3 linked regions of the Rhinolophus ferrumequinum genome follow. The protein of the gene in region 1 purifies or fractionates together with the protein of each later gene. This does not show direct contact. Links are inferred from orthologs where the notes say so. Each region holds a gene or a part of one and is shown in the gene's direction. Other genes may lie near its edges. The genes, in order: SETDB1, FAF2 and ATF7IP.

Region 1 (7,529 bases):
GCATCACTGGGACTTGGGCAGGGACCTGGACCAGCTTATAAGTCACTTTAGAGGAGACATGGACCCACAGCATCATGCTGGACCGGGCATTAGCAGTGATACCAAATGGTTCGGAGACGTAACTCTAACCACACACTGTTAGCAGAGACTTGATCATTGTTTCTGGTCCCAACTCTTGGAAGCAGGATTGAGCAGAGTAAATTCCCAGGATTATTCGAAAATGGAGGCAGGGGAACCAAAGCCTTCCAATGGAGGTACTAGAGTTTACGAAAGAGAAAGAGAGAGAGAGAAATACGATTTGTACCCTGATTTAATGAAAAGAAATCCAGGGTAAGGTGACAGTCAGGGTAAAACAAAATCAGATTAAGATTGATGTAGTACATGAGGGCTACAGTGTGTGCCCCCCAAAAAACTCAGAAATTAATGTTTCCCATACCCCTTAAAATAAAATGCAGGACAAACACACGATTAATGAGAGCATCAGTCTGCGGTCACTAGAGAGTCACAGGTCTGTTACCTAACTTTCTCCAGTAACCTACCTAAGAAAAAAACGCATCACTCAGAAGAAGTAGACCGTCAGTGAAAGCAGAGAAGGAGGAACAAGTCGCAGGTCCAAAGTGAATGCTATTCAGGAGACTGGGCGTTTCTAGTCCCTGGGGCTGAATAGTCCTTGTGTGAAGGTTCAGTGAGTTGCCGCCCACAAATCGTTATCTGGTTTTACTGCGCACATTATCTCTGCCAATCCGATGTCCTTAGGCATTCCTTTCACACACACACCTCTCCCCCTTAAATTGTCAGCTACAGATCCCGTCGCTCTGCAGAGAAGTTTCACTGGGCCAGGCCCCTTCCAGTGTTCATCTACAAAGCGCGTGTGGGTGTGCGTTAGATTCTCTTATTTGTTTTTTTGAGTCAACATTTTCAAATTATGTTATAAAAGTAACAAAATGCACATGGTAAAAAAAAAATTGCTTTCAAACTATTACCTAAGGATAAAAATGCACAAAATTCTTATACACTGCCTTGTTCCCCAATCCTTCCTTCCAGGGGTAACTGCTGTTAAAGTAGTTTGTTTTTGCATGTATGTGTATCTTTCCAGACAGTTTTCTGTTCTTTTTCTTTTTCATGTAATGTGTGAATAAACTACTTTTATGTTTTAGTATTCAAAAGGGATAAAATTGTGTACTGTGAGAACCCTTACTGTCACTCTTGCCCCCACCCTTCCATTTGCCCTCTTCAGAGACAACCAGTGTTAATTTCTTAAGTCTCCTTCCAGTGATATTTTAGGTATATGTATATTGTTGCCACTGTTTACACAAATAATAGCATGCTATGTATCGTATTCTGCACCTGCTTTTCTCATTTAATAGTAAGATAACATCATAACAACGCACAAAGAGTTTCCTCAACCTTTTTTAAAAACACAGCAGGAGTTTGGGTGTGCCGTAATTTGTTTAACCACCCCCTGCTGATGGAAATTGCTATTGTTTCTAAATATTTTGCTATTTCAAACAATGTTGCAGAAGATAATTTAGCACATATCATTTCAAAGGCGTGCGATTTCAACCGTATGTATGACCTAGAAGTCGAAGTGCTGGCTTAAAGAGTATTTTACAAAATTTTTGAATTAGTTGTCAACATTCAAAACTCGAAAGTTTTCATAGAAAAATATGAATTTTTTAAGTCCCTTGAAAAATTGGAGATCCGGTAACATTGTATCTATCACACAGGACAAAAATTAACTGAAGTTAAGTAGCAGCTGCTCCCTGGAGATGACACATGCATTTCCCAGGTGACCACACTCCTCACCCACCCCATTTTGCTCCTTTACTTTCTTGATGCCTGAAACGCTTTGTTTTTAATCCCTTTCTTCTTTTGTTTTGATTCTGAGATCACTCAGCAACCTTTAGATTATGATCTAATTTCCCTTAAGTCTGTTATAGGGAAAGGATCATTTGGCATTCCAAGGTTTTGGCCCTTGGGCTATGACTTCTCGTGGTCAAGTATTAAGTAGCATGTGGTTGTGATGTTTCACAATGGATTGCCGGAATGAATGTGCTGAGCACACCAACGTGAATAGTCCAATTGGTGTATCAGTTATTTATGACTTTATATTATTAAACTGGCAATAAACTACGTCAATAAGGTGTACAACTTAATAATGTGAGTCATTTATAACAGGACCTAATCATCTCCAACAAGAGTTCGTCTTCAGATCTTAACAAAAACAAAGCCAAATCTTGGCCCTGCCCTAGAAAGGATTACACAGCTCAAACTTGCCTTTCCTACAGTGCTTCTCATATTTTAGTGAACACACACATTACCTGGAGGTCTTATTAAAATTCAGATTCTGATTCAGTACATCCTTAATGGGACCAGCGACTTAGAATCTCTCACAAGCTTCCCGTTGTGCAAGGCTTTTAGAAGCCACTTCCTGCATCCCACTGCTGATTTCTACGTCTCATTGTTTCAACCTTCTCAGAGCAATGAAGAAATCAGACTGGAATATGATGCCCCAAATAGCTTGTTATTTCTCTTCAACATTCCCCATTCCTTATTTCTACCCCAAACCACCCACACACGTCAGAAAGCTGAAAGAATCTAACAGAAACTGTGGGGACAGAGCCCCAGGAGAGCAGTTTCCAGGCTCTCGACTTCACGTGGAAAGGTGCTGGTTCGGGGAGTAGATGGCCATCTGCTGTGACTAGTTGGCCATAAGCTGTAACCAGTTAGCTATTGGCCACTAATATAACTGCCGTGGCTATGCTTGTGTGTTGGTTGGTTGGCAGAGAGGTGGATGGCAGATTGCAGCTACCAAGTGGGGTGAGTTGGTTGACAGAGAAGCAGACAGCAGATTGCAGCTCCTGCTTCCTGTGTGACTGTGGGGACAGAGCCCCAAAAAGCAGTTTCCAGGCTCTCGGCCTCACATAGAAGGGTGCTGGCTCAGGTAGTAAATGACCATCGACTGTGATCAAATGGCCAGCAGCTGTGGCTAGTTGGTCGTCAGCTGTAACCAGTGAGCCATTAGCCATGAATATAACTGCCGTGGCTAGGCTAGGGGAAGAGGCTAGCAAAGAGAAAAAAGAAAAAAGGGGGAGCTAGCAAGAAGATGGTGGCTGAGTCTGCAAGCGGCACATAGAGGGTTGAGAATTGTGTGGTTCCTGGTTCCTGTGTCTCCAAACCAGTCGCCAGTGAGAATATAGTGGTGTGACTCCCCTACCTATGGCTCCGTGGGTGTTCCTTTTTGGCCTCACCATGTCCTGCGTTCTTGTGTGGGGGGCGGGACCGGAGACCCCGCCGGACGCCCCGCATGACACTTGGCGTAGTCGGCAGGATCCCCTGCACTACAGTGACACACAGGGTGGCATGCTGGGTCTCTGGTCCCGCTCCCCACATAAGAACGCAGGACATGGTGAGGCCAAAAAGGAACACCCACAGAGCCACAGATAGGGGAGTCATACCACTATATTCTCGCTGACGGCTGGGTTGGAGACACAGGAAGCAGGAGCCACCCTATCCACAACCTGCCGTCCACTTCTCTCTGCCAACCAATAAAGTAATCTTTATTGCTAGCTGCAATCCGCCATGCTAACTGCAATCCCTGCTTGCTAGCTCAGCCTCCATCCTCTTGCTAGCCCCCATCTGCTGCTAGCATAAGCACGGCAGTTATATTAGTGGCCAATGGCTCACTGGTTACAGCTGACGGCCAACTAGCCACAGCTGATGGCTATCCAATCACAGTTGATGGTCATTTACTACCTGAGCCAGCACCTTTCCACGTGAGGCCGAGAGCCTGGAAACTGCACTTCTGGCTCTGTCCCCACACTCAGATCCCATTCGGGGGAATGTCTTCCACAGAAATAGAAGTACTACTTCAAAAGGATGTTAAAGTTTATTGTTGCATTATTGGTAGTGGCTAAAAACTAAAAATAATTTAAATTTCTAAACATGGTTTAGACAAACTTTGAAGTATTATGCAACTGGCAGACAAATTTTATCCTTTTTATTGACTTCAAGGGATGTCCACGTGTTAAATGTAAGCAAAACAAAACAAACAAAGAAATTTCACACACATGACCTTGTACCTACAAGCCTAGAAAACTAAGCTAGTATTTTACTTCAAAGGAGCAGGGGTGGTTAAGCCTTGAGAGAGGAGAGGATATTATCATGTTTTTCTTATTACTTACATCTTGCTATTCCTTGACTTGTTACACTTTGTATGACCTACATAATAAAACAAAAGCCAGTAAAAGTGAGAGAAAAATATGTAAACCTGAGTGTCGACCCACTGAATCTTTACTTAACAAACAGTATTGCTGCCACCATTTGGTGTGGGGGTGGAAGAGGCGGAGCTTCTGTAATATATTCCAGACCACGCCCACTTTACTTGGCCAATCGCTTCTCACGTGTGCCCTGGACGGCTCGCTTTGACGCATGCGTACTCGCCTGAATTTGCCTAGCCTCAGAGGGTTGCCCTGCAAGCTTTGGGTTTGACCCCATCGGGCTACCGTCGCCGGGACCGGAACGGCACCTGAGGTTTGCTTCCGGGCGTCTCTTTTGCTTCCCTTTCCCTCCCCTCACGTTTTTACCTTCCCCCTGCTCCCTTTTCTCTTTCGTTCTCTCCCGTAGAGGCCCACCCCTGAGGCGTGAGTCTGGGGTCTGGTTGGTGAAAAAGAGCTATTGTAGCTGGAAGCAGGGAGGTGTGGGACATTAACTGAGGTATTTGGAAACCAAGGGCTTGTCTGGAATGTTTTGTTTGTGGGAGGAGGTCGGGTGAGGGTGGGAAGGAAGTTTTCCCCCTGCGGCGAGCGGGGGCGGGGTTGAGCTGGGTTTGCAGGAGCGTGGGACGCACCCCTGCAATGGGTAACACAGGGGTGGGGCGGGATGTGGGCAAAGTGAAAAGTGGAGGCGCTGAGAACTGGCATTGGGGTTCCCCCGGCGTACTGGCATCAGTTTTGCTTTAACCATTTGATCAGAAAGGCAGCTAACATCAATGTGTGGGTTATTTGGATTGTAGGTTTTAGGTAGCCACGTTTTATTCCAGGTTGCTTTTTTCCCCTTGCTTTGGAGAAATCTCGTTGCTGCAAGCTTTTGTGTGCTTAAGTAGTATAGACTCTTCAAAAAGTAAATTTCCACATGTAATGTAAGGAGAACAGCTAATTAAAGAGAAAACAGTGAGTTAGTGAGTGATAGACCGACCTCTCCTCTCCAACTGGAGGTATTTGTTCAAGCTAGGCAATAGCGTGCAGCCTCCTTTTATTGCACTTTATTGCGCTTCACAGGTGTTACGTTTTTTAGAAATTGAAGGCAAAGATCCTCTACCAGCAAAAAGATTATTGCAATACTCGCTTTATTGAGGTGTCTGGAAGCCCAACCCACAATATCTATGAGGAATGCTTATATCTTAGTAAATCGGCTCTCTTGAGTTTCCGAAAACATTATTTCCAGTAGTTCCCTGTTGTACAGTATATGCCCTCTCAAACTTTTAAATCTTACTCAGGCTTAAAGTCTATAGAGTAAGATGAGAACTCTGTAGAATCTCAGCATCATATAGTGGAGAATGGGGAGAGAGACCAGAATCAAACCTAACTATATTTGAATAACAAGTAAGGAGTAGAAAGGAGTTTTATTAGAGGGCCGAAATTCTCTGTTGCGGTTATAATGACTCCAGAGGTAATTTTAGCTTTCTCTTCCATGTAGAGGACAACAGCATGTCCTCCCTCCCTGGGTGCCTTGGGTTGGATGCAGCCACAGCTGCAGTGGAGTCCGAAGAGATTGCAGAGCTGCAGCAAGCAGTGGTTGAGGAGCTAGGCATCTCTATGGAAGAACTGCGGCAGTTCATCGATGAAGAACTGGAAAAGATGGACTGTGTACAGCAGCGCAAGAAGCAGCTGGCAGAGTTGGAGACGTGGGTCATACAGAAGGAATCTGAGGTGGCCCATGTTGACCAGCTCTTTGATGATGCATCCAGGTGAGGACTGCATGGGAGGAAATCTCTCCATTGGCAGACATTTTTAAAGTATAATTGTTCATGACACTGTGTCACGCACCTTATAGTTTACAAGCTACAGATGTGCAAAACCTGACTCTGCCTCAAAGGTTAGAGTCCAATATCTTACCTCACCACCATCCATATACAGAGGCTGCCAAAAAAATGTATATACATTTTAAGAAAGGAACAAACGGTATTAAAATTGTAATACTCTATATACTGATAACAAAAGATGAGGACGGTCATATGTATACATTTTTTTGGCACCCCCGGTATATAGAATATTCATCTATCAGAGCCTAATATGTGATCGGAAGTAGGGGCCAGATCTTGAGTCCCTTCCCTTCTTCCTCTTGTGCTCTACTTCAGAACAAGTGCTTTGTTTTCTTAGTAAGATCATCTGAGGATTGAGGATTGTGAAGAGTTACTGTCTTATGTAACTGGAGCATTAATAAGGTCCTAGGGCCCTAGAAGATTTATTTCTGGTGCCCTGGTTGTCACTTAGGACACATTTTCGAATAACAAGGTAGATGATGAGATGTGTTTGAAAGGACTGTATTTTGGGCTTACTGTGGATTTTTGAGGAACTAGTCTGGAAACCGCTACTGAAACATTTTTCTATGGGAAAAGCATTCTATTCTAAACAGAGATGCTTTGGAATATGGCTGTTTAAATTGAGGTCAGCATATACTTAAATATATATAAATTCGAATGGCTCTACACCTACTGACCTTTTCTACATGTGTTCCAATATTAGGGCAGTGACTAATTGTGAGTCTTTGGTGAAGGACTTTTACTCCAAACTGGGACTACAGTACCGGGACAGTAGCTCCGAGGATGAAGCTTCCCGGCCTACAGAAATAATTGAGATTCCTGATGAAGATGATGATGTCCTCAGTATTGATTCAGGTAAGAGATGAAGCTGTGGATCGGAAAGTCTCAGAATTGAAATTGAAACACTAGAAGATGAGAAGATGGAAGAGAGGAGAAACCACTGTCACTAACTCCATATTCCTAACGTTGGACTTGTCTGATACAGGAAGAAATAGAATATTGTTAGTATCAGAGTGTCTCCTACACGCTACTTCCTGATTGGTTATCCTCCTTTCTTTTTATAGGTGGCATTAGCACCTATGTATATATCCCAAAACAGTACATTGTTTGGTTTTATCTATTTTTTAATAGTTTTTTTTAAGGTATAATTTATGTACGATAAACTGCACCCGCTGTAAGTGTACAGTGTGCGTTTTAGTACATTTATACAGTAATGCAAACTTCAGCGCAATTTAGTTTTAGGACACTTGCGTCACCCCAAAACATTCCCTCGAGCCTGTGTGCGCAGTCTCTGTGGTTACCCCAGCAACCACTGATCTGCTTTCTTTCCGTAAAGTTCTGTCTTTTCTAGAAATTTCATATAAATAGAATCACAATATGTCTTCTGTGGTGTGTCTGGCTTCTGTCACTTAACATAAGGTTTTCGAGGTTCATCCATATTGTTGCATGTGTCGGTAGTTTGTTCCTTTTCTGCTGAATGATATTT
Region 2 (7,292 bases), on another chromosome or scaffold:
TCTTTTGATTTGAGATGCTCTAAAGACCATCCCTCTCTATCCCACAGGCAGTAGCTATATTTCCCGATTTAGTTCCCATGGCTTTACTCTCATAAGTCCACCCACACTCGTGAGGTCTTTGCTCTAAGGATCTAGCCAGTCCCAATATTTATAGACCTTGTACTCTGTACCCAGTGCAGTCCCTAGCCCTGGGGACTCAGTGGTGGCCCAAGCCAACTTGGCCTCTGTTCCCTTCATGGAGGGCAGAGCTGGGAGACAAACGGTAAACTAGATAATATCATCTAGTGATTTAAGTGCTTTGAAGAAAACAAACGTTTAGGTCTCCTCTGAGGATGCAGCCTACACATGCTGAGATCTGGATGTCAAATGGGGTCAGCCCTGTGAGAACTCCAGGAAAGTGCTCCAGGCAGAGGGTACTGCAAATGCAAAGTCCCCGAGGGATTATGAGAACAACAAGGCTTGCAAGTAGCGAGTTCCCTGGAATGAGGTCAGAGGATCGCACAGGGCCTTGTAGGCCCTGGAAAGGAGCTTGGGTTCTATTCTGAGGACAACGGGAAGCCAATGGAAACTTCCGAGCTGGGGAGTGACAGGATCTGATTTACTTGTAAAAAATGATTTAATCCTTGCCATGACCCGTGAGGTAGGGACTATTAGTCTGTTTACAGCTGAGAGATGAGCAAACTGAGGCTTAGAGAGGTTTCCTTGCCAAAGTACACAATCAATTAATGGTGGCATCAGAGTTTGTCCTCAGGTCTCCCTGAAGAACATGAGATGGGCTTTGTGACTTATTTAAGGCAGAACTTTGCCTCCAAACCTTACTTTGTGTCATCAGCCTAAATACCCCTAGCAGAAATCTAAGGATCTATCATATAGTACTAATGAGTGTGGGGATTCCCTTTCTCACTTCTGCTCCTACTTTTTTGGATGAATTTAGTTGAGTCACCTTAATTCCTGTTGGCTTCACTTAACCTATAACGAGTAACCTAATGGGGCAGGAGGCCAAACGAAAACTGTTGCTGACATCTCAATGGCCTGCAATGAAGAGGCCACGTCCCTAACTGACAGGAAACACTGTAAGTTCCAACTGCTCAGAAATTGAGAGCTTATTCTAGGATTTCCAGGACTCCGCAGGACAGAATTTGTCCTTTATTAGGAACAAAATGGTAAGGTGTCAGCAAAGCCTTATTAATAGGATTTGAGAAACATATATTCATTAGATTCTCGGAGATACCTCTCAGTCACAAATTCCAGTGTGTTATAGGCATAAAATTGGGACTCAGAAACCTCCCCCATACACACACATCCTTCCAGAGAATGATGAGATTAATTTTCAATTAAACTGTGTGTTCTTACAGGGCAGCGGCTGTGTCCTGTTTATCTTTTGTAGTATCTGGTCCAGAGCCATTCAATAAATATTTGTTGAATGAATTCCTAAAATCTGTGGATGAATATAATTAATATATCTATTAAAAAGATCTTTGGAATGCTCTAGAACTGCATTTACAATACAGTAGCCACTATCCATATGTGGAAATTGAGCACTTGAAATGTGGCTAGTCCAAATAGAGATGTGGGGTAAGTGTAAAATACACACCAGATTTTGAAGGCTTAGTATAATACACACACACACACACAAAAGGTATTTTGGATACATTGGGTTAAATCAAATATATTACTAAAATTAATCTCACCTGTTATATGTGGCTCCTAGACTATTTTTAATTATGCATGTGGATATTTTATATTTTGATTGGATAGCACTGCTCTAAAAGACAAAATAAAGGCCAAGGGCGAAAAATGCTCGCAAAGGAGAGATCAAGCCTATAATTGATGACACTTTCCATGCTCTTCATCTTGAATTTATCAAAAAAATCTTAGTTTTCTTCCAAGGCATGTGTGGACTCCCATGGCAAAGAAGGATTCTGCTCAGGTCAGAGGGGCAGACTGGAGCTCATGGGGTGAAACGTGGCTTGCAATTATGGCTGACTGACAGTACTTTTCCGAAAAACTGAGTTATCACCATTTTAAAGCAGGGAGATTTCACATGCATACCCAAATTCGTCGGTGCTCTTTAAAAATGAGAAGTTCTGGCAATACTGGTCTCACACAGAAGCCATCAGCTGCCACTAAAACCAGAAACCACTTTTGCACAGGGAAGGGATTCCCCAGTTTGCCATTTTGTATGCCCTACACTGAGGCAATTTCTTGTGGAAGAGTCAAAAAAACAAAACAACAACAAAAAGGAAAATTGTTTGTTGTAACTTTGTCTTTATTCAAGGAAGAAAACAGAAATGTAGAACAAGAACAAGTATGTGTCTTTGAGAAAGTGAAAAACATCCAATGGTGTTTAATGTAAGTACAAAGTATGTCTGTTAAAAGAGTACACCTTAAATTAGAATTACGCAATAAATCCAGAAGGGCATCTGACTTTGCCATCCCGCCCCCAGTTTGTCTGGGTTGAGCATTATTGGAGATGTTGACCAGTACGTCTCCTCAGATGTTTTGAGTTGATGTAATAAATTCTTTAAAGTCACAGCTATTTACATCCAATTTTACCTTAAAGGTGTAAGAAAAATTCCAGGACATGGAGGTTTGTGCAGACCTGGTAAGACCTGACACAGGCCTGAAAGGAAGTAACCAAAACCTAATGTACTTTTCACAAGACTTAGCTTTCAAAGCTCTTTGTCCTATCTCACCTGGTCAATCCTGTGAAGTGGGCAGGGGTGGGATTCTGCAGATAGTGAGGACACTGGGGCCGTGCTAGTGATACGGGCCAACGAATAACCCCCCTAGGCCCCCCCACTGAAACACTTTTTTTCTTTCCTATAGAAATTTTAAGTTTCCTTTTCCCCAGGTTTTTAGCTCCTACCCCTGCTTTAGATAATTACCCTAAAACTTGTGATTCATACTTGTTGAGTGTAATCCATTCTCTGTTGCTCGGGTCCGCTCCTATTTCTTTGGAGTGTACTATGGTTTCTAATAAACTATTCTTTCACCATTTTATTTCTGTGTCTCGTTCGTGCAATTCTTTGTTCGAGTCGCCAAGTACCCTGGACACCGCGCGGAGAAAAGCCAACTCTCCCCTACCCCTAGGAGTCACAGGAGGAGTCTGTGGAAAAGCATGCGTCAGATCCCGACCCCTCTGTCTCCCCAAGGTCTCCGGACAGTGGCCAGAGGAGGCGGATGGCAGGAGAAAAGAGGTGGAAACGCAAAAGGGAGACCTAAAGAGAGGGGGCAGGTTGGAAGGGACAAGGAGCGCGCAGAGGAAAGCAGACATTGAGGTGTGGGGTAGGGTTAAGGCCGTGCAAAGGGTGAGGGTCGGACTGCATTCTAGAAGGAATGCGCTGAGGCCGCACGTCAGGGGCTACTGGGGATTCTCGTTCCACCAATGGCAACACGGAGCGCAGAGAGGAGGTGGTGTGCCCAAGATGTACATCACTTTGCAAGGTGGGCGCTAGCACTTGAACCCAAATCTGATCCCAGTCCCGGGATTTTATTTAGGTCGGTCACAGGGAAGACAGGCCAGTGGGCGAGAGACGCGAGGCCTGGGGCAGCAGGAGCAGAGTCGCACGGGGGTAGACGGAAAGCTTCGCCCAAGGCTGGTAGGCCAATTAAACATCAAAGACCCAGGTGGCCAAGTCCAAATAATCCTGGCAATCAACTTCCATGCAGCGATTTTCCCGCGGTCCCAGCCTTCAACGGCTTCGGACTTGAAGGCGGCGTCGGAAATGCGCAACCAGTATTCGGGGGCTTTCGGAACCTCCCGAGAGATGGTGAGGAACTGTTGGAAACGTCAGGGCAGGAGTCAAACATCAAACGATATTTCGGAAGGGCCACAATTTCCTTAGAAACATTCAAGAATACCGGAGATCCCCGGAAAACGTTTAAGAGGCAGCCGAAATCTGCCGATTCGGGAATTTCCGAAGCTTCTGTGGCATTCGGGAATTTCCGGAGCTTCTCGAGAAGCATTCGGGACTTCTCGGCTCTTTACGATCTCTTCAGGAGTCTTAGGTCCTTAGCAGATCCCTTCTTTGTCCAGGTTGTGAGGGCGACTGGTCTCGACAGGCCCTCGGCAATTTCCGGAAGTGTTCGAGCTAGGTCTGAGAGTGGCGCCCTCTGGCGGTAAGAACTCTCACCACCCCCCACACCCCACCACCCCCTTCTACCCCCTCCTTGCTGGGCCAGGACGCGCAGATGCAGTTGCGCGCCAGCGGCTGTTCCGACCGGATGTGGTTGCTGCTGAGATCAGTTCCGGCGAGTGACGGTGCGGACGGGTCAGAAGCGTAGAGGCGGCGGCAAAATGGCGGCGCCTGAGGAGCGGGATCTAACCCAGGAGCAGACAGAGAAGCTGCTGCAGTTTCAGGTAGCAGCGAATGCTCGGTGCAGCCAGTGCCGCCGCGGGCTGGGGAGTGGGCCCCCAGAGGAGCCCAGAACCCTCCTGAGATTGGGTCCGAGCTGCTTCTGAGACCAGCAGGCGGCCCCCTCCCCCCCCAGACGCCAACTGCCCTGCTGCCCCTGGCCCCCGAGCCTCTGTCGGTTCTCGGCCTTCAGCCTTGGCTGCTGCCATACCCGCCTTTCCCCTCTCCCGTCAGCGAGTCAGCTTCCCTGATGTCCCTTAGCGGCACCCGTCCTCCGCCATCCTTCCCCGGTCGGACACTCTGCCCAACGACTCTGAATCTACCTGAGATGCTTAATCCCCACCGCGGAGTTGGCCTCGTTTCGGGTCCCTGGAAAACCTGCTGCCAGCATCCCATGCCATTTCCACAAACATTTACTGAGGGCTTCTTAGGTGCCAGGTTTTGTGTTGGGCGCTCTGGTGGGGGAAGGGCGGGCCTGGCTCCCGCCCTAAAGGTGTGGGAGGACACCATGTAAGGAGACAAGTGCTACGTTATAAATGTCATCAGTGGCTTCTGACAGGGTTTACTACCCTGGGCTTAGTCCTGAAGTCACGTGCTTGACTGTGCTTGAGGAGGATGGTAACTTGCAGAAATCGGCCTCAGTGGGTGTGGAGTTGAGAACTTCTGGCACTAAGCACTTTTCTCTGAGTTTGATGGAGAATCTGGGTGGAGGAGACCACCAGGGTGGGTTAACCTTGGCTCTTTGTTACCCTGATACCAGTTTCCTTATTGTTTCTAAAATATACACCTTAAAAATGTTTGCTCCCTAAGGGTGTTCTGGAGATTTAATGAGTTTATGGATGTCTGAAGGACTTTGTAAACTGTAAAATGCTCCCAAACAGTATTGCTGCTTATTAATCATTATTTAACTTAGGAAAGAATTAAAGTTTGTGGTACGTTTTTTCCTAATGTAAAAATGTGCTAAATATTTATTCGTTTCAGCAGTTACTTACCAACAACCTTAGTGCTCAGGCACTGCTAGTTAGTAAGTGGTGGTGTCAGATTTAAAGCTGGGTCCATCTTTCTAGAACCTTTCCTGAGCTCTTGACTTGTGTGCTATACAACCTGGATAAATATCAGTGTTCAACTGAGTGTGGACTGCAAATGCTGTGATACTGGGTTTTTTGTTTTCTTTTTTTAACAACTTCTCACTTTTCTGTAATTTCCTTGATTTTACCGTAATTGATTTTGAAGTGTTTTTTTCTCTTCAACTGAGTAGTGATATCTGAAACTAATAGAATATTGTGTGTTAATTATACATCAGAAAAAATGAGCAGGGGGTTGGACGTGTACCTATAAGTGGAAAAATACTATTGGAAGTAGTTGACATTTGATTGGAGTTTTGAGTAGAGAAATGGATGACACGGTAAATTAGAATCAGAATGAATAAACAGCTTCCACTTCCTGGTAGACCACTAATTGCAGAGTTTTGTTTAACTTTGGCAGATCGTTTTACCCACTACAGCGTTTCAGGGATAAGACCCCTGTTGTTAAATGTAACGTGGTGCTCTGAGTTGTAAGTCATGATGTACTTGGTAGTATGCTGGTGGGAGAACATGATTACGTGCTAGCATTTCTGAGATAAAGTGCATAGGAACCTCTGTTTTAGTCGTCATCGGACATCTCTCAGTAAGAGAGGCGAGTAGCAGGTTAAAGTTGAATTGAGATTGCGTTATGAAATTGGATTTAATAAGGCAAATGTATTTTACATTTATGTGTTCTTTAAGCAGTTGCTGGATCAGGTTCATCATCCGAATTGCCATTAAACGTTCTTTGAAATTTACTAGGTGTCAAGCACTATACCAGGTATTTGATGTACATTAACTCTTTCAAACCTCTTAAAATAACACCATAAGGTGTTAACCGCGTCGATTTATTGATGAAGAAACAGGCTCTGAGAGGTCAGGTAGCTTGCACAAGGAGTAAGTGGCCGAGAGTTAGAGATCCATACCCATAACCATCTGTTTGGTCTACAAGCTAATGGAGAAGCCACATACATACATGAACGAGTACCGTGCAGTGTGTTAGTGCTCCTAGTGCGGTATGGTGTAAACTAAGCGCTGTGGGGATTTAGGGAACGATAGGAGCACTGGTGGGGGTAAGGGGGCAAAGAAGGATGGCTAATAGTTAATCAGTATCTCCTGTGCCTTTGTGCTTGTCATCCTCGCAGTAGCCTTGCAAAAAGTGCCGTAAGGAAACAGATCTATTGAAATATTTGCTTAAGGTCACTAAGCTATTAAGTAGTGGAGATGGAATTAGAGTTAGAAATCTAGTGGTTCTGGCTCTGGACTTCAAGGCTGGGCTCTTTGCACCCACTGTACTTGGCCACTTTGAAGGAGGAACAGAATTTCAACAGGTGAAGGACATGAGGAGAGGATTCATAGCTGAGGAAACAGCTCAAGCAAGGTGTGGAGATGGAGTGTGGAATGTGTTTGTTGCGATGGGTTTCTAGAAGTGGAAGTGGAAAATAAGACTGGAAAGGTAAATTAGAGCCAGGGCCTCCAAAGCCTTTGAAAGGTTTAAATTTTAACCTGTAGGCATGGGAGCCATCACAGGTTTTTTTCAACTCGGGAGTGACATAACACTAGGTTTCAGGTTTGCTTCACTAAGAGTGTGGGGCATGCGCTTGGAATCCCCACAGGGGTTGGGACAGAACAGAGTGAAACTGCTAGGAGCTGGTTCTCAACATGTTGCTTCATTTGATATATTGAAATTAGTAAAAGTAAAATATTTTAGAAATCTCAGGTTTCGTCTCTTTCACATTTTTGTGACATGTGGTTTGATTGCAACTCCCTAGGATATGTTTATCATGCTTCTCAGTCCGTTTGATGTCTTCCAAGATTTTTGTAGTTATCCTTGTCTCCTATTTATTTTGGAGCCAGTTGAGTGTGAATA
Region 3 (7,819 bases), on another chromosome or scaffold:
TTTAATGGGAACCATTTCATCTATTTAGGTCACCTATGTATCTTGGAAGATGGTTTAGATACCCCTTCCATTCTCTGAGGACTTCCTGTATTTGTTTTCTATCACCAAGTTACAAATTACCACAAACTTGGTAACTTAAAACAATGTGTATTCATTATCTCAGTTTCTGTGTATCAGGAGTTTGGGTCTGACTTATATGGATCCTCTGCTCAGAGTCTCACAAAGATACAATCAAGGTATTAATTGGACTGCATTTTCATCTGAGAGCTTGACTGGTAAAGAATTTGCTTCCAAGCTCATTTGGTTTGTTGGTAGAATTTATTTCCTTATGGCTATACGATTGATGTTCGTACCTTTTTTTTCTGGTTGTTGGCTGCAGCCTACCCTCAGGTCCTAGAGGCTACCCAAAGATTCTATAAGCCACTTGTAGTAACTTTCCATGTGGGCTTCCTCAACTTGGCTGCTTAGTTCATCAAACCAGCAAGAAGAATCTCCTCAGGGAAGGCCCAATTCCTTTTTAAAGGGCCTTTTCCACATTAAGTCAGGTCCAACCACGATAATCTCTCTTTTGGTTGACTCCATATTGATATTTGGCACTTTAATTACATCTGCAAAATTCTTTCATCTTTGCCATATTCTATTGACTAGAAGCAAGTCATGGGTTCTGCCCACACTCCAGTGGACAGGATTATACAGATGTGAACACAAAAAGGTAAAGATTATTTTAGAGGTCTGTTTACCACACTTCCTATTCCCAAGAGTTGTTTCTTGAGTTTTCCCAGGTTTGCCTACTTAACACTTCAGTAAACTTCTCTGCAAATTGGAGGACAATAATATAAATTATCAGGTTGTAGTTAATTCATATTCTTTCTTAATGGTAGTGTCAGATGTGCAGATAGAAAGTGCTCAAGTTAAGCTATATCTGTACTATTACTATTCTAACAAGTACTGTTACTACTATTACTATTATTACTACTACAATTACTATTAGCTAACACTTATTGAGATATTACTATAACCACTATTGCTCAAAGTGGTTGACCAGAATTTAATCTTCATAAAAACTTTTATCAGATAGAAGCTATTTTTTATCCCATTTTATATTTCAGGAACTATTTGCATAGAGAAGTTTAGAACATGCAGCAAGTAAGAAGTAGAGATAAGATTCCAATTCAGGTAGTAAGCCTTCAGAGCCCATTTTTGTAAGCACTATTATTAGTCTGTCTTTCATGTTATAGTACTTAGAAACTTCAGTTTTCCTTTTCAGCTATTTCTTTTTCCAGTTTATTCTATTTTTTTTTTAATTGGGGAACAGTGTGTTTTCCCGGGATGTCAAGGCATCGTTTTCAGTCTAGTTGTACAGGGCGCAGCTCACTGGCGCATGTGGGATTCGAACCGGCGACCTTGGTGTTATGAGCAGTGCATTCTAACCACGGAACAAACTGGTCGCCCACTGGTGGCTCAGCTCCAAGCTTAAGCAGCTCCAAACTCTCACTGGTCCACGTGGGAATCGAACCGGTGACCTTGGTGTTATGAGCACTGGCGCTCCAACCACTGAGCAAACCGGCAGCCCACCTGCAGCTCAGTTCCGAGTTCTAGCCATTGTTTTCAATCTAGTTGTGGAGGGTGCTGTTCACTGGCCCATGTGGGAATTGAACCGGCAACCTTGTTGTTAAGAGCTCGCACTCTAACCAACTGAACCATACGACCGCCCCAGTATTCTATTTTTCAAAAGTTCTGTTTTCCTTGTTTAATTTCTGCTCAATTGCTACAACTGAAAATCATTTATGTATGTTTATTATTTTAGGTTGTTTTGGGTTTTGGATTTTTTTTTTCTGTCAGAAGTTCTGAGATCTTGTTTTATTCAGGCATTTTTTTCTAGAAGCATATTCAGAAAGTATGTATAAATAAGGCCATAATGGTGAGTAAAATATGGAAATCTTTCAGTTGTTCTGTGCTAGACCAAGCAGTTCCAATCACATACTTCCACTAGAAGTATTGTATCCCTTATATCCCCACCCCTGAATATTCCTCCTACCATTGAGTCCACCTCAGTCCCCAACTAAAGAACCCCTGAACCTCTCCACAATCCTACAACTAGAAGATTAACATCTTACAAAGTAGGGAGTGTTCAAGCCTGCTTCTATTCTAATTGGTCAGTTGGTGCCACAGGGATTGATAATTATTTTGAACACCATCTTACCTAGAAGTTGAAACTATACCTTTTTTCATTCTTCTGTGTCTTTGAGTTTCTGTTTTATCTAACTTGAATTCTCTTTGTTTTGTACTTATTCTGACAACCACTTTCAGTTCTACATTATGAGTCAGGTCAAATATCACCTTTTCTATGAACTTTTGCTGTATACTACGAGGAAGATTTAGGTCCTCCTGTTTTACATTTCTTTTATACTTAGTGTATACCTCCATGACAATACTGATCTCATATTGTTTATCTGTATATATGACTTATTCCCCATTTAGAAGCAGTGTCATTTCCTGTGGGCATCTCCAATGCTTAGAATAGTATGTGAGTACATAATAAATACTATACTTGTTGAATGAAGAAACAATTGAATTGGTTAGGTCAACCATCAGGTAGAATAGCTGAAGAGACTATAAATGTGTGGTTGAGAATATCTGGGGACAGTCAAATACAATAAAATTGTCTAGTTGAAGACATAGGGAGACAAGTCTAGAATATCAGCATATCTAAGAAAATAGATCAATTGTTGAGTTAGTGCTGAATTATTTTTCCCTTTGCCATTAGCCTAGACAGTTGAGAGTGAAGTATTATAAAAATGATTCCTTTTTACTTGCTTATAGAAGATATACAAAGAGAAACCTAATGGATTCTATTATCCCAATCCCATTTCTCTTACTATAGAATGTAACGTTTAATATCAATGTCAATATTTACAATTTACTGAGCATTTATTTTATAATTGAGCACCTATAACTAAATTGTAACATAAATTTGTTATAATTGAGCCTCTATTTGAAATTTATTGAACACCTATGTACAATTTTCTGTGCTAAGGACTTTACAAAGCTTAGCAATTAAGCAATGCAAGTGTTATTTCCTGACTTAAACCTTTTAAGTGATTCCTCTTTGCTCTCACAATAAAGTCCAGCTTTAGGCAAGAAATCTATTAAACCAGTTCTCATCTTAGAGATTACCTTTTAGGAAGGCATTACTGATTCTCCAAATCTGGATTAGATGATATTTTTTTTTTTTTTTTGTAAGACTTTTTTTTTTTTCAATTGGGGAAGGAGTACAGGACTTTATTGGGGAACAGTGTGTACTTCCAGGCCTTTTTTCCAAGTCAAGTTGTTGTCCTTTCAATCTTAGTTGTGGAGGGTTCCTTTCAGCTTCAAGTTGTTGTCTTTTCATTCTTAGTTGTGGAGGGCACAGCTCAGTTCCAGGTCCAGTTGCTGTTGCTAGTTGCAGGGGACGCAGCCCACCATCCCTTGTGGGAGTCGAACAGGCAATCTTGTGGTTGAGAGAATGCGCTCCAACCAACTGAGCCATCCAGGAGCTCAGTGGCAGCTCAGCTCAAGGTGCCGTGTTCAATCTTAGTTGCAGGGGGCGCAGCCCACCATCCCTTGTGGGACTCGAGGAGTTGAACTGGCAACCTTGTGGTTGAGAGCCCACTGGCCCATGTGGGAATCGAAAAGGCAGTCTTCGGAGTTAGGAGCATGGAGCTCTAACAGCCTGAGCCACCGGGCCGGCCCTAGGTGATATTCTTAAAAGCCACCCAGCATCAACTAAGTTAAAAGGCCCAAATTATAACAACCAGTGTCAACCACCCTGCACTAGTTTCTTAACTATTTACAAAACCTGTTTACTTTTCTGTCTTCTCCACTATAGTATAGATTTCTTGAGGACAGGCGTCTAATATAGGTCTGGAACCCAGTGATTGCTAAATACTGAATGAATTGATTAATTTAAGGGAGAAATTACATTTAAAAACAATAACCAAACTTTACGATCTATTTGTCAAGCTTTTCTTGCTTTGCATAACACACTTACTCTTATCCTATCTTTTTGCCTTCCCAGCCGATTTGAACTACAGGTTTTATCACCATTTTAGAGATAAGAAAACTGACTAACACACTTATTCCACGGAACAGGCAAGTAAGCAGAAGTACTTGGGTGTAGGCCCAGATCTCCCAAAGGAGTAGAACCTTCTCCACTACCTCCTGTGGCTTTCATTAAGGGTTGGCTCCCAATATAAAATTGCATATAAGGAATACAACTTCTAGTGGAAGTATGTGATTGGAACTGCTTGGTCTAGCACAGAACAACTGAAAGAAAAGATGTGTTTTCGTCATTCCTTCATTACTTATACTTAGTATACTTAGTGAGTTTTTAATATAAATCAACATACTCCAGCATTTTTGAAAATCTTCCCCTCGGCTCTTTAACTCTCACCTACCTGTTTCCTTCCTTCCTTCTAAGACTCATAGAGGGCGCTCAAAAAGTGCTACTCACTGGTCGAAGGAAGTTCCACTGAAAAACACCTCACACTGCAACTGAAAGGCACAGCGCCACCACCTCAGACTTCCTTCTCTTTTCCACGACAGGAGGCGTGGCCAATTTCCCTCATTCAAATAAAAAAAAAAATAAGCCAGGCGATTTGCATGGGAAACGTCCAGTCCGTGAGCCTATTGGCTGATAGCACAGGGGGCGTGGTCAACATTACGACCACTGAGCCCCGCCTACAGTAATTTGCATAACGGCCCCGCGCGTGCAAGGGAGAAGCGGGTTTGTTTTTGAATCTGCGGCAGCGCGGCGACGGCGGCGCGGCGGCGGCGGCAGCGGCGGCGGCGGCGGCGCGGCGAGTGAAGTGCGCGAGACTGAGGAGGCAGCATTGGGGACGGCTACGGGAAACGGCTCTCTGGGAAGGATATTGGTTCCCCCGTCCTCATCTCGCGACCCGAAAGGTATATGTGCAATCTAGGGGCTGTTAGAACCATATTTTCTTAAATTACTATTGTATTTCTGAAGAGTCAAGACCGCATTATGGCGGCTGCGGGAGTTGTGTTTGCGCCTGCGCGGTTGCGGAGCTGCGGGCGGGCGCTGCATGGGAGCACGTGATCTTGCGGGTCCGGCTCTAGCTGCAGTTGTGCAGCTGGCGGGGCGGTGGCTGCGCAAGCGCAATATTCATTTTCAAGATCTAATGTTCTTGCTGGACGCCATTTGGGTTCTAGATTTAATTTACCTCCTTCTAGAGGGGTTACATTTTGTTACCCTCAAATTCTCACATTTTTCAGGGAAAACGTTTCTTTTATGTTGTACTTCTGTACTGACCTCAAACTGTTTTCTTATATTTCTCCGATTCTCTGAGAAGCTCTGAGAGACTTAATTTTCTGTAAAAGTGATCGTCACTTGTGGTTCTTGATTATAATTTCACTTTTAGTGTGTTGCTGGATTCCAGTTTATATTTAGGGAGATAAAGATCAGCACCTAGTGGTGTTCTCACGGGAAGTGCATTTATTTGAACTGCATATTTGCAATTATATTTTTAACCCTGTTTTACCAGTGCTGTTATGGAATGTTTACAAAAGAGAAACAATTTGAGTTTTGGAAATATAAGGAGGTCTTGTTTAAGAAGTAATCTTAATCTCCTTGGGTGTTTATTTTTTAAAAATGTTTGATCCTAAGTCAAGGAAGTTTCAATTTTAATCAGTTTGTGTTCCTCTTATACATGCATTTAAGTTTTACACTTTTTCAGTCTCTGGTCACTTGTCTATTACTGCTTCAGTTAGATCATTTTTGTTACTCCTTAAAAATTAAGCCATTTTCTTAGCATTTTGTTTGTTATGATATATAAAATATAACACTTGGTACATTTTTCTGATAAAAAACTCTGCAAAGGTCTCCCACCTACACTGAGGCCATGATGAGGAAGTGAACCATCAATAAAAATAAAAACAAATTAGCTGATTAAAAAAAAAAACTGCCCCATATACATACGTATGAGATAAAATTGTTGTGTTTGATCTTGTTTAAAGTTATAAGTGTGTTCCTGTTTTTACTTTCTTAAAGAAGGTAGTTATAAGTAAGTCACTGATTATTTTAGTTTAAAATGGTAGTGTCATTATATGTAAATCTTATATAACACCCCTGGGAGAAGTTTTATACGATTTACTATAATTCTACCATTGTGCAAATTATTTCTTACTGTTCTAAAAACTTGTAAATGGTTTTCATAAACTTCATTTGTGGTTTGTATATGTAACAATTGGTTTTCTGGTTGGTTATATAACTCAAGTTTAATTCAGTCACCTGCCAGATGAAGAAGTGGTTATTGCTTTTTAATCTTGGTTGCTTTAGGGACGTTTTTATTGCCTAAAATAAGTACCATTACTAAGTATTAAGATGTAATTGAAAGGAATACTTGTGGTTGGTGGATTTTTTTAAAAAATGACATTATATACGAATATGAGATAGAATGGAGTGATAGGAAAAAATTCCTCTTTATTCTATTCTGACAATAAAAAATTGTCGTTCATATAATTCCTGGACTTCTGAAGTCTTCTACACAGAACAGTATTTAGAAGGCAGTTGTGTAATCTTCCCTTTTATACACACCCCTCCCCCACCTCCTTTGACATTGTTTCTGGTGTTTTTTAGAGTTGAAAATTTGTTTTTTCTGTATTAGTGAGTATGTGTATACACATAGATATTTAAGTTAAGAAAAGAACTTTGATCTTAGGGCGTGGTAGACTTTGCACTTCCAGAAAAGTGAAATGTTTTGGTATATCTATCTATCTATCTATCTATCTATCTATCTATCTATCTATCTTTTTTTAAATTTAAGTGTGTTTTTCCAGGACCCATCAGCTCCAAGTTAAGTAGTTATTTCAATCTAGTTGTGGGGGGCGCAGCTCATAGTGGCCCATGTGGGGATCGAACTGGCAAACTTATTGTTAACAGCGCCGCGCTCTAACCAGCTGAGCTAACTGGCTGCTCCTGGTTTATATATTTAAGATGATGTTTTTATTTGAATATACAAATGATTGCCTTGTAGATTAATGTTAAGATTATGAGGTACTTGAAAACACTGAAGAACATAATGTACAATGTAAATATGTATTGATAGGTCAATTTTGCTGTCATGTTTGTTAAAAAGGCAAATACAATTCTATAAACTTAAAACTAAGACTGAAGAATTGTCTGAATATCCACTATTTGTTTATTTGTACTTTATCAATAACAAACATGTTTTGAAATTGTGCTTTCATAGTTGTGATGCCACAAAATTTTGACACATATGCAGCATATATAAATATTAAAACTAGGTCACGCTACGCAAGAATGAAAGTGATTGGGGTCATTTAAAATCTTTTTAGTTTTATGAGTTTAAAGCCTCATAGTATTTAGTTTAGAAATAAAAGTTTTGATGGGGCGGCTGGATGGCTCAGTTGGTTAGAGTGCGAGCTCTCAACAACAAGGTTGCTGGTTCAATTTCCACCATGGGATGGGCTTCGTCCCCTGCAACTAAAGATTGAAAACAGCGACTGGACTTGGAACTGAGCTGCGCCCTCCACAATTAGAGTGAAGGACAACAACTTGGAGCTGGTGGGCCCTGGAGAAACACACTGTTCCCCAATATTCCCCAAAAAAATTTAAAAAAAAGAAAAAGAAAAAAAGGTTTAAGTCATAAACCATTAAAATAGTCTTTTTTTCCCTTTAAAGTGTAATTTGAATGCATGATGGATATATTTAAATATTTTTTACTTATTATAGCACATTTGAAACATGTTGAAATTAATTAGCATTTAGAAATAATTGCTCTAAAAGTTTTGGTGATTT

The links.
Region 2: the proteins of SETDB1 (region 1) and FAF2 purify together in Homo sapiens (affinity purification with mass spectrometry; 3 studies listed by BioGRID and IntAct, counting the BioPlex papers as one, with this or other methods). This does not show direct contact. The link is inferred for Rhinolophus ferrumequinum from reciprocal best matches to the Homo sapiens genes SETDB1 and FAF2.
Region 3: the proteins of SETDB1 (region 1) and ATF7IP purify together in Homo sapiens (affinity purification with mass spectrometry; 6 studies listed by BioGRID and IntAct, counting the BioPlex papers as one, with this or other methods). This does not show direct contact. The link is inferred for Rhinolophus ferrumequinum from reciprocal best matches to the Homo sapiens genes SETDB1 and ATF7IP.

What each region holds. Positions count from the first base shown.
Region 1 is NC_046305.1:51,057,085-51,064,613, forward strand, and holds the start of SETDB1 (histone-lysine N-methyltransferase SETDB1), read left to right. Parts: upstream 1-4,462; 5' UTR 4,463-4,533; intron 4,534-4,555; exon of another isoform or gene 4,556-4,716; intron 4,717-5,697; 5' UTR 5,698-5,708; coding exon 5,709-5,968; intron 5,969-6,746; coding exon 6,747-6,898; intron 6,899-7,529. UniProt on the Homo sapiens protein: Histone methyltransferase that specifically trimethylates 'Lys-9' of histone H3. H3 'Lys-9' trimethylation represents a specific tag for epigenetic transcriptional repression by recruiting HP1 (CBX1, CBX3 and/or CBX5) proteins to methylated histones.
Region 2 is NC_046307.1:6,067,448-6,074,739, reverse strand, and holds the start of FAF2 (FAS-associated factor 2), read left to right. Parts: upstream 1-4,237; 5' UTR 4,238-4,300; coding exon 4,301-4,363; intron 4,364-7,292. UniProt on the Homo sapiens protein: Plays an important role in endoplasmic reticulum-associated degradation (ERAD) that mediates ubiquitin-dependent degradation of misfolded endoplasmic reticulum proteins.
Region 3 is NC_046293.1:28,749,012-28,756,830, forward strand, and holds the start of ATF7IP (activating transcription factor 7-interacting protein 1), read left to right. Parts: upstream 1-4,798; 5' UTR 4,799-4,944; intron 4,945-7,819. UniProt on the Homo sapiens protein: Recruiter that couples transcriptional factors to general transcription apparatus and thereby modulates transcription regulation and chromatin formation. Can both act as an activator or a repressor depending on the context.